Arabidopsis thaliana: one gene and its partner. The protein of the gene in region 2 interacts with the protein of the main gene of each other region in a pairwise test. Each region holds a gene or a part of one and is shown on either strand. Other genes may lie near its edges.

Evidence for each region. Proteins that work in one complex are often made in the same cells at the same time.
Region 1: the proteins of ADA2B (region 2) and AHG1 interact in binary tests that used the Arabidopsis thaliana proteins (3 or more experiments, as listed by UniProt).

What each region holds. Positions count from the first base shown.
Region 1 is NC_003076.8:21,025,112-21,029,956, reverse strand, and holds AHG1 (Protein phosphatase 2C family protein), read right to left. Parts: upstream 3,083-4,845; 5' UTR 3,042-3,082; coding exon 2,577-3,041; intron 2,511-2,576; coding exon 2,166-2,510; intron 2,100-2,165; coding exon 1,994-2,099; intron 1,380-1,993; coding exon 1,045-1,379; 3' UTR 769-1,044; downstream 1-768. UniProt on the Arabidopsis thaliana protein: Negative regulator of abscisic acid (ABA) responses during seed germination.
Region 2 is NC_003075.7:9,261,776-9,268,022, reverse strand, and holds ADA2B (ADA2 2B), read left to right. Parts: upstream 1-1,865; 5' UTR 1,866-2,247; coding exon 2,248-2,297; intron 2,298-2,740; coding exon 2,741-2,796; intron 2,797-2,883; coding exon 2,884-3,056; intron 3,057-3,179; coding exon 3,180-3,245; intron 3,246-3,335; coding exon 3,336-3,461; intron 3,462-3,558; coding exon 3,559-3,634; intron 3,635-3,723; coding exon 3,724-3,772; intron 3,773-3,850; coding exon 3,851-3,870; intron 3,871-4,121; coding exon 4,122-4,341; intron 4,342-4,423; coding exon 4,424-4,634; intron 4,635-4,714; coding exon 4,715-4,939; intron 4,940-5,026; coding exon 5,027-5,218; 3' UTR 5,219-5,402; downstream 5,403-6,247. Other genes in the region: AT4G16430 (basic helix-loop-helix (bHLH) DNA-binding superfamily protein), read right to left, coding at 1-424; AT4G16410 (uncharacterized protein), read left to right, coding at 5,447-6,004; AT4G16400 (uncharacterized protein), read right to left, coding at 5,921-5,957, 6,195-6,247. UniProt on the Arabidopsis thaliana protein: Required for the function of some acidic activation domains, which activate transcription from a distant site. The exact mechanism of action is not yet known.

The DNA of each region.
Region 1 (4,845 bases), on a different chromosome or scaffold from region 2:
GGAGAAAAAAAAAAAGATTCTTGATTCTCACTCTCTTTTGTGGTCCAAACTTGAAACTAAACAAGACGTAGAGAGAAGCTAAAAGGCCCACAAACACAATTATGATTCAAAGAAAAGTGCGACACAAACACTGAGACGATAATGACCCAAAAAGAAAAGAACAAAAAGTAATGTAAGAATTATTCATGAGAACATTCTCCATCTCACGCTTTTTGTTTTACTTCAAAGACAATTCTTGATTCTTGATCTCCCTTTTATTTAGGACCAAAACTCTGTATTCGTCAAACCTGTTCGAATTGTTCCATTTCCATCGAACTATAAGAGTTGTCTTTTTGTCTCTCTTTCTTGAATTGTTCTCTTTGATTCTTTTGCACATCTCTTTTTTTTTTCCTTTAAAGCCTAAAGAGTAAAGACAATCTGGTAATTGGCCCAAAAGCCTATATAGCATTGTTGAACCAAATATAAAACTGCACGGTTGAGTAGGGTTAGGGCTGGTTCAAAATCTCAGCCTTAAATTCACTTCATTCAGGTTGTACCAAAATGTAAGTATTTGTAGACAGAGATGACTTTAACCATTGGAAATGATCAGTCCATCAAAAAAATATAAAAGACCAAGACCGGCGTCTAATGAACTACAACGAACAAAACCAAAGCAGTACTACGTTTTTATTTTATCTATTTATTTCACACATACCACCTAAATAGCTAAACGATCAATAACTTCAAAATGATCACACACATACAACAAACAAAATTAGAGAACAAATTCTCTCAAGTTAACTTTTATTTTATTGTTTAAACCACTAAATACCCTTAATAGCCCATGGCCAAACCACTAAATAACCTTGTAGCCCATATCCAAACAACTCTCTTTTCCTTTCACATTCGCCGGTGTTAATGTGTATTGGTAACCCCAATTCATAACAAAACAAAGACGGGCGCTAAACCCTAAAACTAATTAAGGCTCATCGCTATATCAACATCTTATTCTTTGGTTTAACCACTTAATTGCACAACCACCAAAAAAAGGATCCAAAACTAGTTTTACTGAGAGCTATTCTTGAGATCAATGACGACCACACTTATATTATCACTGCTTTGTCTACCCAAAGCCAACCGCGTTAGCAACGTTGCAGCCAATACACTCCTTGAAGGATTTTGTTCTCCGTCATTGTCGTCTTCTTGAGCCATTCTATTTAAATCAAGGCTCGAGGGAGTTTCTTCGCGGAGACAAAACCTAGCTATGTCACAAGCTAGCTGACTCGAGAGTACATCCCAAAGCCCATCGCTTGCTAATACTAAGCATTCATCTCCAGATTCCCTTCTCATGAATGTTACTTCTGGTTCCCATGCTACCATTGGTTTTAGATACCTGTCCCCTGCTCCATGAATTGTAACACAACATTAGGAACAATTTCCATACTAAAACTTCATGTTTAGTCTAATAAATTGTATAACCGAAATAAATTTTAAGTTGGTTAAATGATCAAACAATGAAAGATACAAAGATAAGACACATTTAAATACTTTTGAAGTTAAGAAAAATACTTCTCCCGTTCTAATCCATGAGATGGTTTGTATGAATGCCCACATTTTTTATTTTCGTAAAATGATTCAATTATTTTTGTTTTCTAGTTAATGCTGCAAATATAATTTTTTTTGTTTTTTTTTTTTTTTGTCAAATGTTAAACTATTAGGACCAATGTAAAATTTCTAGTTAACATTTTGACAAAAAAAAGAGAGTAAAATTTACATATTTTTTTTTTAAAGGAACAATTATAAAACATCTTTGAAAATAGAATTAGAATTAATCAACAAAAGAACTCGCACCAAATGAAACCAATCCATAGTACCTTAGTTAGTAAACTTAAAACCCTAAACCCCAAATCCGAAATGATTATTATTGCCCTTATAGGCTCTAGTTCCTTGCCATCTTCAACACTATCAACTAAAATCATCTTTTACTACAATATGAGAATTGAGAAAGGTATACCTATGGCTCTGGACGTGGCTAGAATTCCTTCAACTCTAGCTCCATCCACTACTAAAACTCGACCACCAGCTGCTTCAATCCTCGCACGCTCGTCTGGTCTATCCGGCTGCAAAAAACTCAACAACTTCAAAATAGAAACTCCAATATTCTCAAACCTTTACAAGAACACCACCTTGTGATCGTTACTCAGAGGAATAGCCATTCCATTTCGACACAACACCGCACGTGAGTCACCAGTATTGGCTACAATAATATGATCGTGCGTCAAAACCGCAGTGACCGCCGTTGAACCCGAAATCGCAGCCTCCCTCGGATCACAGTTACACAACGGCACACTAGTCCCACACACGCATGTACTCGTTGCCATCTCATCCATCCTCTTGAAACTCCGTTTCATCACGCCCCGCCATTTCCTCTCCACGACATCGTTTTCGCTTCCTTCTTCCTCCTCTTCGAGGTTTTGCTCTAGCTCCTCCTTGACAAACGTGTGCATAGTCGTGCTGCACAATGTTGACACCTGTCCACGCATCACATCAGCATCTTTATATTAAATGACCAAACCACCCCTGGTTAATTTTCTTACCTGAGAACCGCCGTGGCCATCGTATACCGCAAAGAAATGAACCGGTCTTTGCCGGTTAACTTCCGGTTTGCACAAATTCGGTTTAACAGTAACCGAATCCTCCATCTTACGAGATCTTCCCATAACCGAAACTATACCGTACAACGGCTCATCCTCCGTTTCTTCTCCCTTCCACACCGGCGCTTCCGATTTTTGGCAAGAAGATGCCGCCGGAGGTGCCAAAAAGCCCCCGATATCCGCCGGAAGACCACCGATCTCTGACCTCCGAGCTTGTTTCCTCAATGGAACGTCAAAACTTGAGTAAACTTCCATGTCCGTCCGATCACGATTCCTAGACGAACTAGGTTCGCCGAAAACCGCCGCTTGTCTCCGCATCTCAATTCTCCGACGACGACGTTCACGGCATTTAGTCGGAGAAACGTCGTCTCCACGTCCGGTTGAAATTGTTCTGTAGATTTCAGTCATCTTTTCAAAATTCGTTTCGGTGGATCAAGAGAGCACCGCTTTATATACATGGGGCCGAGAGAAAGAGAGAACACTTTGAACATAAAGAAGCTTACGAGGAAGACAGAACACGTGTCGGTGTTTCGATGTATTCGCGTGTTAGGCTCAGGTGTTAAGTTGTTGTCCACGTGGAGACGCCTTCGGTTTTTGTTAAACCGCATCCGGTTTTGGGTTCATGACGATAGTCGTTTAGCTAGGCTCTTGTGTCTTAACTCCTTTCTTCTTCTCCTTGCTTGAATTTGAACCCATGAGCCGGAGCTGATCTCTCAAACCATGTGAACTACAAGGATCAGGCTGGTTCTGGACTAATTCATCAAATATTATAGAAAATGAAAAACTCATGATATACGAAATATTGCATCTTGTTTCCTTTTGCTTTCAATATGAAAACATTAATGTCAAAACAATGACTATAAATGTAACAATATTGAAAAGGTTTATATCAATTTTCTTATTTTTAAAAAGAATTAAATTTTGAAAACCATCTTTTTGAAAAGTGAAAACAAACAATTTCTACTATATTAAATCTGGAATAACATTTACTGATCGTTCCAAATCTCGAGTAGTATTTTCTATAAAACCTGAACGGTAAGTATACTTAAACCAAATCATGGGATTAACCATAACGTTGGAGATATCTTCGGAGAAAAAGGTTGACGAATCGTCAATCGTCACTAGTCACTCTTTTTCGGTGCAACACATGTCACATAGTGATCATCTACAACTTCTCGATTCCTCAGGTTGAGCGACTTGTACCAATTAAACACGTAGCATAGTTATGCCAGTTTAGTCCATCAGTGCCATATGCCTTTTATTCTTTATTTGGTTTCCTACAAATGAAGAAAAACGGCGATATATGTATATTTTATGCTAACAGATTTGATTTGTAATTAATGTCTACTCAAATAAGCAACTGTACAAGATACAAAGAATCATATCATTATTTATTCAAATACTCAAGATCTACGAAAACCGTAATAAATGTTTACAAACTGTCTTTGAAATATATTAAAGTGGGTGAACTGAAATATGTGGATCGATCAATCCTAATATTTTGCTATATTGATGAGAATTAATACGAGTCGAATAGATCATAACAGTTAGGGTGGTTCTCTCTACATGAATGATATGGTTTAGCTAAAAACTAAAACAAACAAAATATTAAGCTAATATAAATGTGTAAGTTATCTAAAAGGAAGATAATAATGAAAAAGCTTGTCTAAAATTCTTAAAAAATGATTCAAACACACTTTACCTTAAATTTGTGATTAGTTGGGACTGGGATATAGTTTTAATCATTGGTGGGTTGGGTGGTTAGTTTTAGGTTTTAATGATTGAAAACTTAACTTGCCGATATAGTGATTTTGTTTTTTTTTTTATGTGAAGAAAATAAAAACTAGTGAGCTTAATTTCAATCCCTGGCTGTTTTAGTAGGTTATTATATATAAACCATATATGATAGAAATGTTATCTTCGTACATCAATGTTTGTTTAAATTGTTTATTCAGTTTTTTATGATCTTCTTGCGGAAATTTGGTTTAATAATTTTGCGTGTGGTTAGAATTACTATATGAAGGGAAGTTGCTTACCAAAAATCCTATGATCAATTCAGAAAAAGTTGGAAAATAATGAGAAAGAATAGTGTTTGTAGTGAAAATACTTTGTGTGGGGTCCAAATCTCCTGCAAAAAGAAACTAATGTGTAGAAGCATGCATGGAAACACCAATAAATTTTTCTGAAGACTCTATGGCACTAAAGTCAGTTA
Region 2 (6,247 bases):
CCAGATAAAACATGTCGAGATCAGTAAGAGCTCCTGATTTCACCAAACGATGATCTTCATCTGAACCAACGAACGACAAGTGAAGCTTGCGAAGCACACGTCTTTTGATCTCATCTTGCTGAGAGTAATCCTCACCTGAAGCACCCTTTTTGACACGGCAATGACCATCTCCCCAGATCAAGACACAACCATCAGAGCTATTAACGTTGGACGCTAGCCAGAAAAGAGCATAATCCCAATCAGATCCTTCAACAACGTGACGTAACCCTTGTTGGAGATTGGAATCACTTGGTGGTGAGACAAGCTTGGACAAGGCAGTGTTGGAAGCTGAAGCTGTTGAGATGAAAAAGTCGCAAGCTTCAGAGCCTATGGTGGATTCAACCATCGCTCGATCTTCTTGATTCTCCCAAAACTTTTGACCCATTTCTCCTGAAACGTTCATTGACATGGAATATACAAAAATTAGGGTATGGAATCAAATAAAATTAAAGGTATTTGGATTGAGATCGCTGCTTACAAATGAGATAGAAGATGATGGGTTTCGTGAGGAAGAGGAACGAGAATCACGTGATTCTTGCTGAGACACCGAATTTAGGGTTTGTTGGTGAAAAAGCAAAATCCTTTATAAAGGATATAACTCTAATTTATATTGCTGAGAAAGGAATGATCAAAGAGAAGACAAAACCTGAGCTTGGTTCACTTCAGATCTGTAGTGACTTGTTCTGAAATTGACGAAGAAAGAAGAAAAGAGGAAGAGACTATGCGAGAGAGAGAATATGGGTTTAATCGTAATTTAATACCAAGGACATCATTTCCTTCAGTTTTTTAACTGCAAACTATACTTTTGCCTTTTCTTACATACCAAACCACAAGTCATTGTGGTGTAATATCTATTCAACTACAAGTAAACCCATATCACTGGATTTTTGTCGAGATTATGTGTACATGTTGGGAAATTATTTCGTAGTACAACCTATTATGATGGGAGAATCGAAACTCGTCTTCTGAATTAACTTATCGCAAATCACCGTTAATAAGCGGAAAAGGAATTTACACATCTTACAATTATGCGCAAATACAATTGTTAATTGGATGAGTCATGCCATATTCTTGAGATGGTATGATAGGTATCATTACACCATGTAGTCAATCACGATTTTTTTGGATAATGTGGTTTAGAAGAACTAATCGCGTCTAATATAGACAAACTTATTCGTTCAGCAAAACAACAATTCGATATTTTTATTCGATTGACATGAGTCTTATAAAATTTATCACTAGATGTCTAATAAAAAAGGTTCAAACATTTCTAATAATTCGATTTTCGACCAAAATAAGAAACTTTAAATTAGCATCAAACTATCTTATATGGTTGTTTCCTTGCTTAACCTTCTTCCAAATCAATTTTTCAAATTAGCATCAATAAGATTTTAAAATACATCATAATGTTGTTCCGATAGTGTGTGACAACACTAACCATTTATTCCTATACAAGTTTATTTACTTGCTAATTCATTTACTGAAAATGTCCATGAACAAAATACCTAAAAACGAATAACCATAACCCAACCAAATATTAAAGACATCTCCATCAAGAAGAAACCCAAACAGTTTTTCAAACAAAAAGAATATTAGTATTTTATTATAATTTTATATATGATTAAATTTTTATTTTAGCGAACCAATTGAAAAGAGAAAAATATTATGATGGTTTGTATAAAGTATTTCATAGTTTAACGAGAAACATTCTACACTCTCTTTCTTTTCCTTTTATTATTTTTATTATTTTAATAATAAAAAATTACCAATAAAAATGGTCTATCTTAGCTTTTTTTTCTTCATTTTTTTTTCCCTCAACCACCATTCAACAATTAACATAAAAAATAATAGTTTTTTAAGTTGAAGTTATAAGAGTCAATTTAGTTTAAGTCATATGCTTTAGTAATAAGCATGACCGTCTAATCCCAAAAAATCTAAAAAGTACAGTGCCTTAGAAATTTCCTTTACCTCGACTTCCCTAATTTTAATCTTCTCGGTCGGAACTTCTGAATAATATTAGTAGAGATCCAAAACCTCACAAATTTCGACCGAGTTTTGTTGAATTCCGATTAGATCTTTCTTCCACGAAACCCCCCCAAGTACCCATTCCATCTTCTCCGGTGAGTCTCCCATGTTGGCATTACGCTAGGGTTCTTCTTCTCTGTGGTTTCGCATAACCCAATAATCCAATTTTCTACTTGGGCATCAATGGGTCGCTCTCGAGGGAACTTCCAAAATTTCGAAGACCCTACTCAGAGGTTTGTTCCTAATTCACTACTCTAATTTCCGATTTGGGGTTTTTGTGGATTTCTCTTTTGTAATTGCCAATTTGTGCTGAAATTGATTTGAATTTCAAGTTTCTTTGAGTCTGTGTTGTGCAATTGTCATTGATCTCTAGTTGGGACAATGAGCATGGCTTCAAATTTGTGGCTTTTGATAACTTTCAGTAGCTATAGTCTCCTCTATCTTCATCTATGTAATTGTGCCAATTTCTGCTGAAATTGATTGATTTTGAAGTTTCTTTGCATCTGCTTTGTGCAACAATCATTGATTTTTCAGTTGGGACAATGAGCATCGCTTAAAGTTTGTTGCTTTTGAAAACTTTCAGTAGCTATGTAGTCTCTTCTCTGTTTTCATCTGTGTAATTGTTTTTTCACTGTTGAAGCTGACATGAAAGAATCGTGTTATGCGTTTGTTGCAGAACGAGGAAAAAGAAAAATGCGGCTAATGTGGAGAACTTTGAGTCTACTTCTTTGGGTAAAAAAATACTTATCAAGGTTTTTTTTTTTTGTTTCTCCTGTCAAGATTCTTCTTTTACTCAACATTTTTTATTTGTGGAGACAGTACCAGGTGCTGAGGGAGGAGGGAAGTATAACTGCGATTATTGCCAGAAAGACATTACTGGAAAAATTAGGATAAAGTGTGCTGTCTGTCCAGATTTTGATCTCTGTATAGAATGTATGTCTGTTGGAGCAGAGATCACTCCTCACAAATGTGATCACCCATACCGAGTTATGGTTAGTTTTCATTTACTTTTCTTACCTTTTAGTTTGGAAAGAGTTTGATTCATTATACTTAGCGAAAATATCTTTTGGTTGAATTCTACCAAAGCTTAATATATGTTTCATTTGCTTTGTTAGGGAAATCTAACTTTCCCGCTTATTTGTCCTGACTGGAGTGCGGATGATGAAATGCTTCTCCTGGAGGTACCACTACTTCTTTTATCGTACTGATATGAAGTCTATAATGTCTGATTCTTTCAGTGAAAAGTAATTTCTTTTAATGTCTTTATTCAGGGACTTGAAATTTATGGCTTGGGAAACTGGGCAGAGGTTGCGGAGCACGTGGGAACGAAGAGTAAAGAACAGTGTCTTGAGCACTACAGAAACATCTATTTGAACTCACCATTTTTCCCACTTCCGGTATGCTACATCGATCTGATAAGATACCTATCTACCTCAGTAGTGCCAGCCTTTTGCAAGGTATTAACTAATTCAGGAGAAACGTTTATTTTCCCAGGATATGTCACATGTAGCAGGGAAGAACAGAAAAGAACTTCAAGCCATGGCTAAAGGACGCATTGATGACAAGAAAGGTATGCGCTTCTTTGCTTGATGGTTTTGATTCTGCGTTGTACGTGTTGCTATTTTAATTCTGATTTTGAAGTGGTTTCTTCTTTGGCAGCAGAGCAGAACATGAAAGAAGAGTACCCGTTCTCTCCTCCTAAAGTCAAGTATGTTTCTCGTTCTTCTCATGTACTGTACAGTGATAACCCTATAATTTTCTCATCTTTTGTTCAATTTTCTTGCAGAGTTGAAGACACACAAAAAGGTGAGTTCTTGCTTTGTATGCTATATCTGGTTCGTATATAGGTGTGCTTATCGTTTTGTTATTTACTTGCTCTAGCTTACACCAGTAGTTATAATCTAGTTAACCATCGCGTAAATGGAATCATCTACTTGTAAAGTAAGAAGCTGACTGAGCATAATTTTAAAATCCAAAAAGGCCCAATATTTGTCATTGTATTTATACTGGTAGATATTTTCTCCCTTTTTCTATGTTTTGACATTCTTTGTGGTTAGAGTCTTTTGTAGACAGAAGTTTTGGAGGGAAGAAACCTGTTTCCACCTCGGTAAACAACTCTTTGGTTGAGCTGAGTAATTACAACCAGAAAAGAGAAGAGTTTGACCCTGAATATGACAATGATGCTGAGCAACTCTTGGCGGAGATGGAGTTCAAAGAGAACGATACTCCTGAAGAACATGAACTGAAGCTGCGTGTGTTGCGTATCTATTCAAAAAGGTACAACATTTAAGATCAAAAGGGGAACAAAGTCTCTTCTTTTTGCTGTCCATTCTGACGCAGGTGAGTATGATGTTTGTAGGCTTGATGAGAGGAAACGTAGAAAAGAATTCATAATAGAAAGAAACCTGTTGTACCCAAATCCCTTTGAGAAGGACCTGTCTCAGGAGGAGAAAGTACAATGCCGACGTTTGGACGTTTTTATGCGTTTTCATTCAAAAGAGGAGCACGACGAGCTACTCCGTAATGTTGTAAGCGAGTACCGCATGGTGAAACGGCTCAAAGATCTCAAGGTAAGGACATTGCTACCCTCAAACTGTGCGTTTGGTTTCTTGGATTGGATGTGGCTCACTGTGTTGGATTGGTGGAGCAGGAAGCTCAAGTGGCAGGGTGTCGTTCAACGGCTGAAGCAGAGAGGTATCTGGGAAGGAAGAGGAAGAGAGAAAACGAAGAAGGGATGAACAGAGGGAAAGAGAGCGGTCAATTTGGTCAAATTGCAGGGGAGATGGGCTCTAGACCACCTGTGCAAGCTTCTTCAAGCTATGTGAATGATTTGGACTTGATTGGGTTCACGGAGTCGCAACTGCTGTCTGAATCCGTAAGTGTCTGAGAACTGAGATACTGAACAGTGTGAGATGAGTTTTCTGTCGTTGTAACTGAAAGAAGAAAGCTCTTTGTTTTGCAGGAGAAGCGTCTCTGCAGCGAGGTCAAGTTGGTTCCACCGGTTTATCTACAGATGCAACAAGTGATGTCACATGAGATATTCAAAGGGAATGTAACGAAGAAGTCGGATGCATATAGCCTTTTCAAGATTGATCCAACCAAAGTGGATCGAGTTTATGATATGCTTGTGAAGAAGGGTATTGCTCAACTTTAAGGCTTGTGTAGTGTTGTATCATATATATATATGTGTGAGCTCTAATGAGTTATTTGTTGACATTCCCTTGTTTATTACACCTTGTCAAAATTAGTTTGTAATAGAAAAACGATTAAGTTATCCACAGATTGTGAAAAGAGATAAGGTGAATCAGAGCCACACAATCTAAACCAAATGTTTTAGTATATAAGAAAGAATCTGACTCCTACAAGGAAAGGAAGAAGTGAGATGACGATGATGTCTCTCCCCAAAATGAGACTATCTTGTCTGCAACCACACCTCCATTTTACCAGTAGCAGATCAATAGCAGCAGCTCTAGCTTTTCCAAGCTCAAGCATAAGGAACAGAACATCATGTCTTGTTCGGTGTGGCTCAGCCAGAAGAAGATTGACTACGAAAAGTAGCAGAAACAGCAAGCTTGAAAGAGCACAACCTCCTCCTCTGGGTTTGGAACGGCACTGGAGATATGCTGTGGTTGGTGGAGTCTCTGTAGGGTTGATGATGGTTTTGGTATTGGGAATGGATGCAGAGAAAGCTATGGCGCTTGGACCAGAAGGTCCTTTAATGGAAGAGTTTTGGGACAACGTTAGAAGGTACGGTCTTTACGCTCTCACGGTTAGCACTGGAGCTCTCTCTGCTGTCTTTGAGCCCATCTTTGAGCTCCTCAAGAACCCAATCTCCGCCATTCTCATTCTACTCATCTTAGGTGGTAGCTTCTATATCGTCTCTCAAGTTGTTTCTGCCATGATTGGTGTCAACGAATTCGCTTATCAATACAGTTATTGACCAACTATAGTTTGTTTTTGTTTTCTTCATTAATACTCTGCTTTTATGCTCTGTTTTTTTTTATCTATTTTAAATTTTGTTACACAATCATTCGACATTTTATTTGACATAAGTTACACCAAATCATTTACATTGTTAAAGCTTTTTAAAGATGGATATATACTTGTGTGCAAATCTTTGTCAGTCGTACTTGTGAGAATCCTCAGGCCGTCCGGCGACGTAATCCATCAGTCTCTCGCCGGT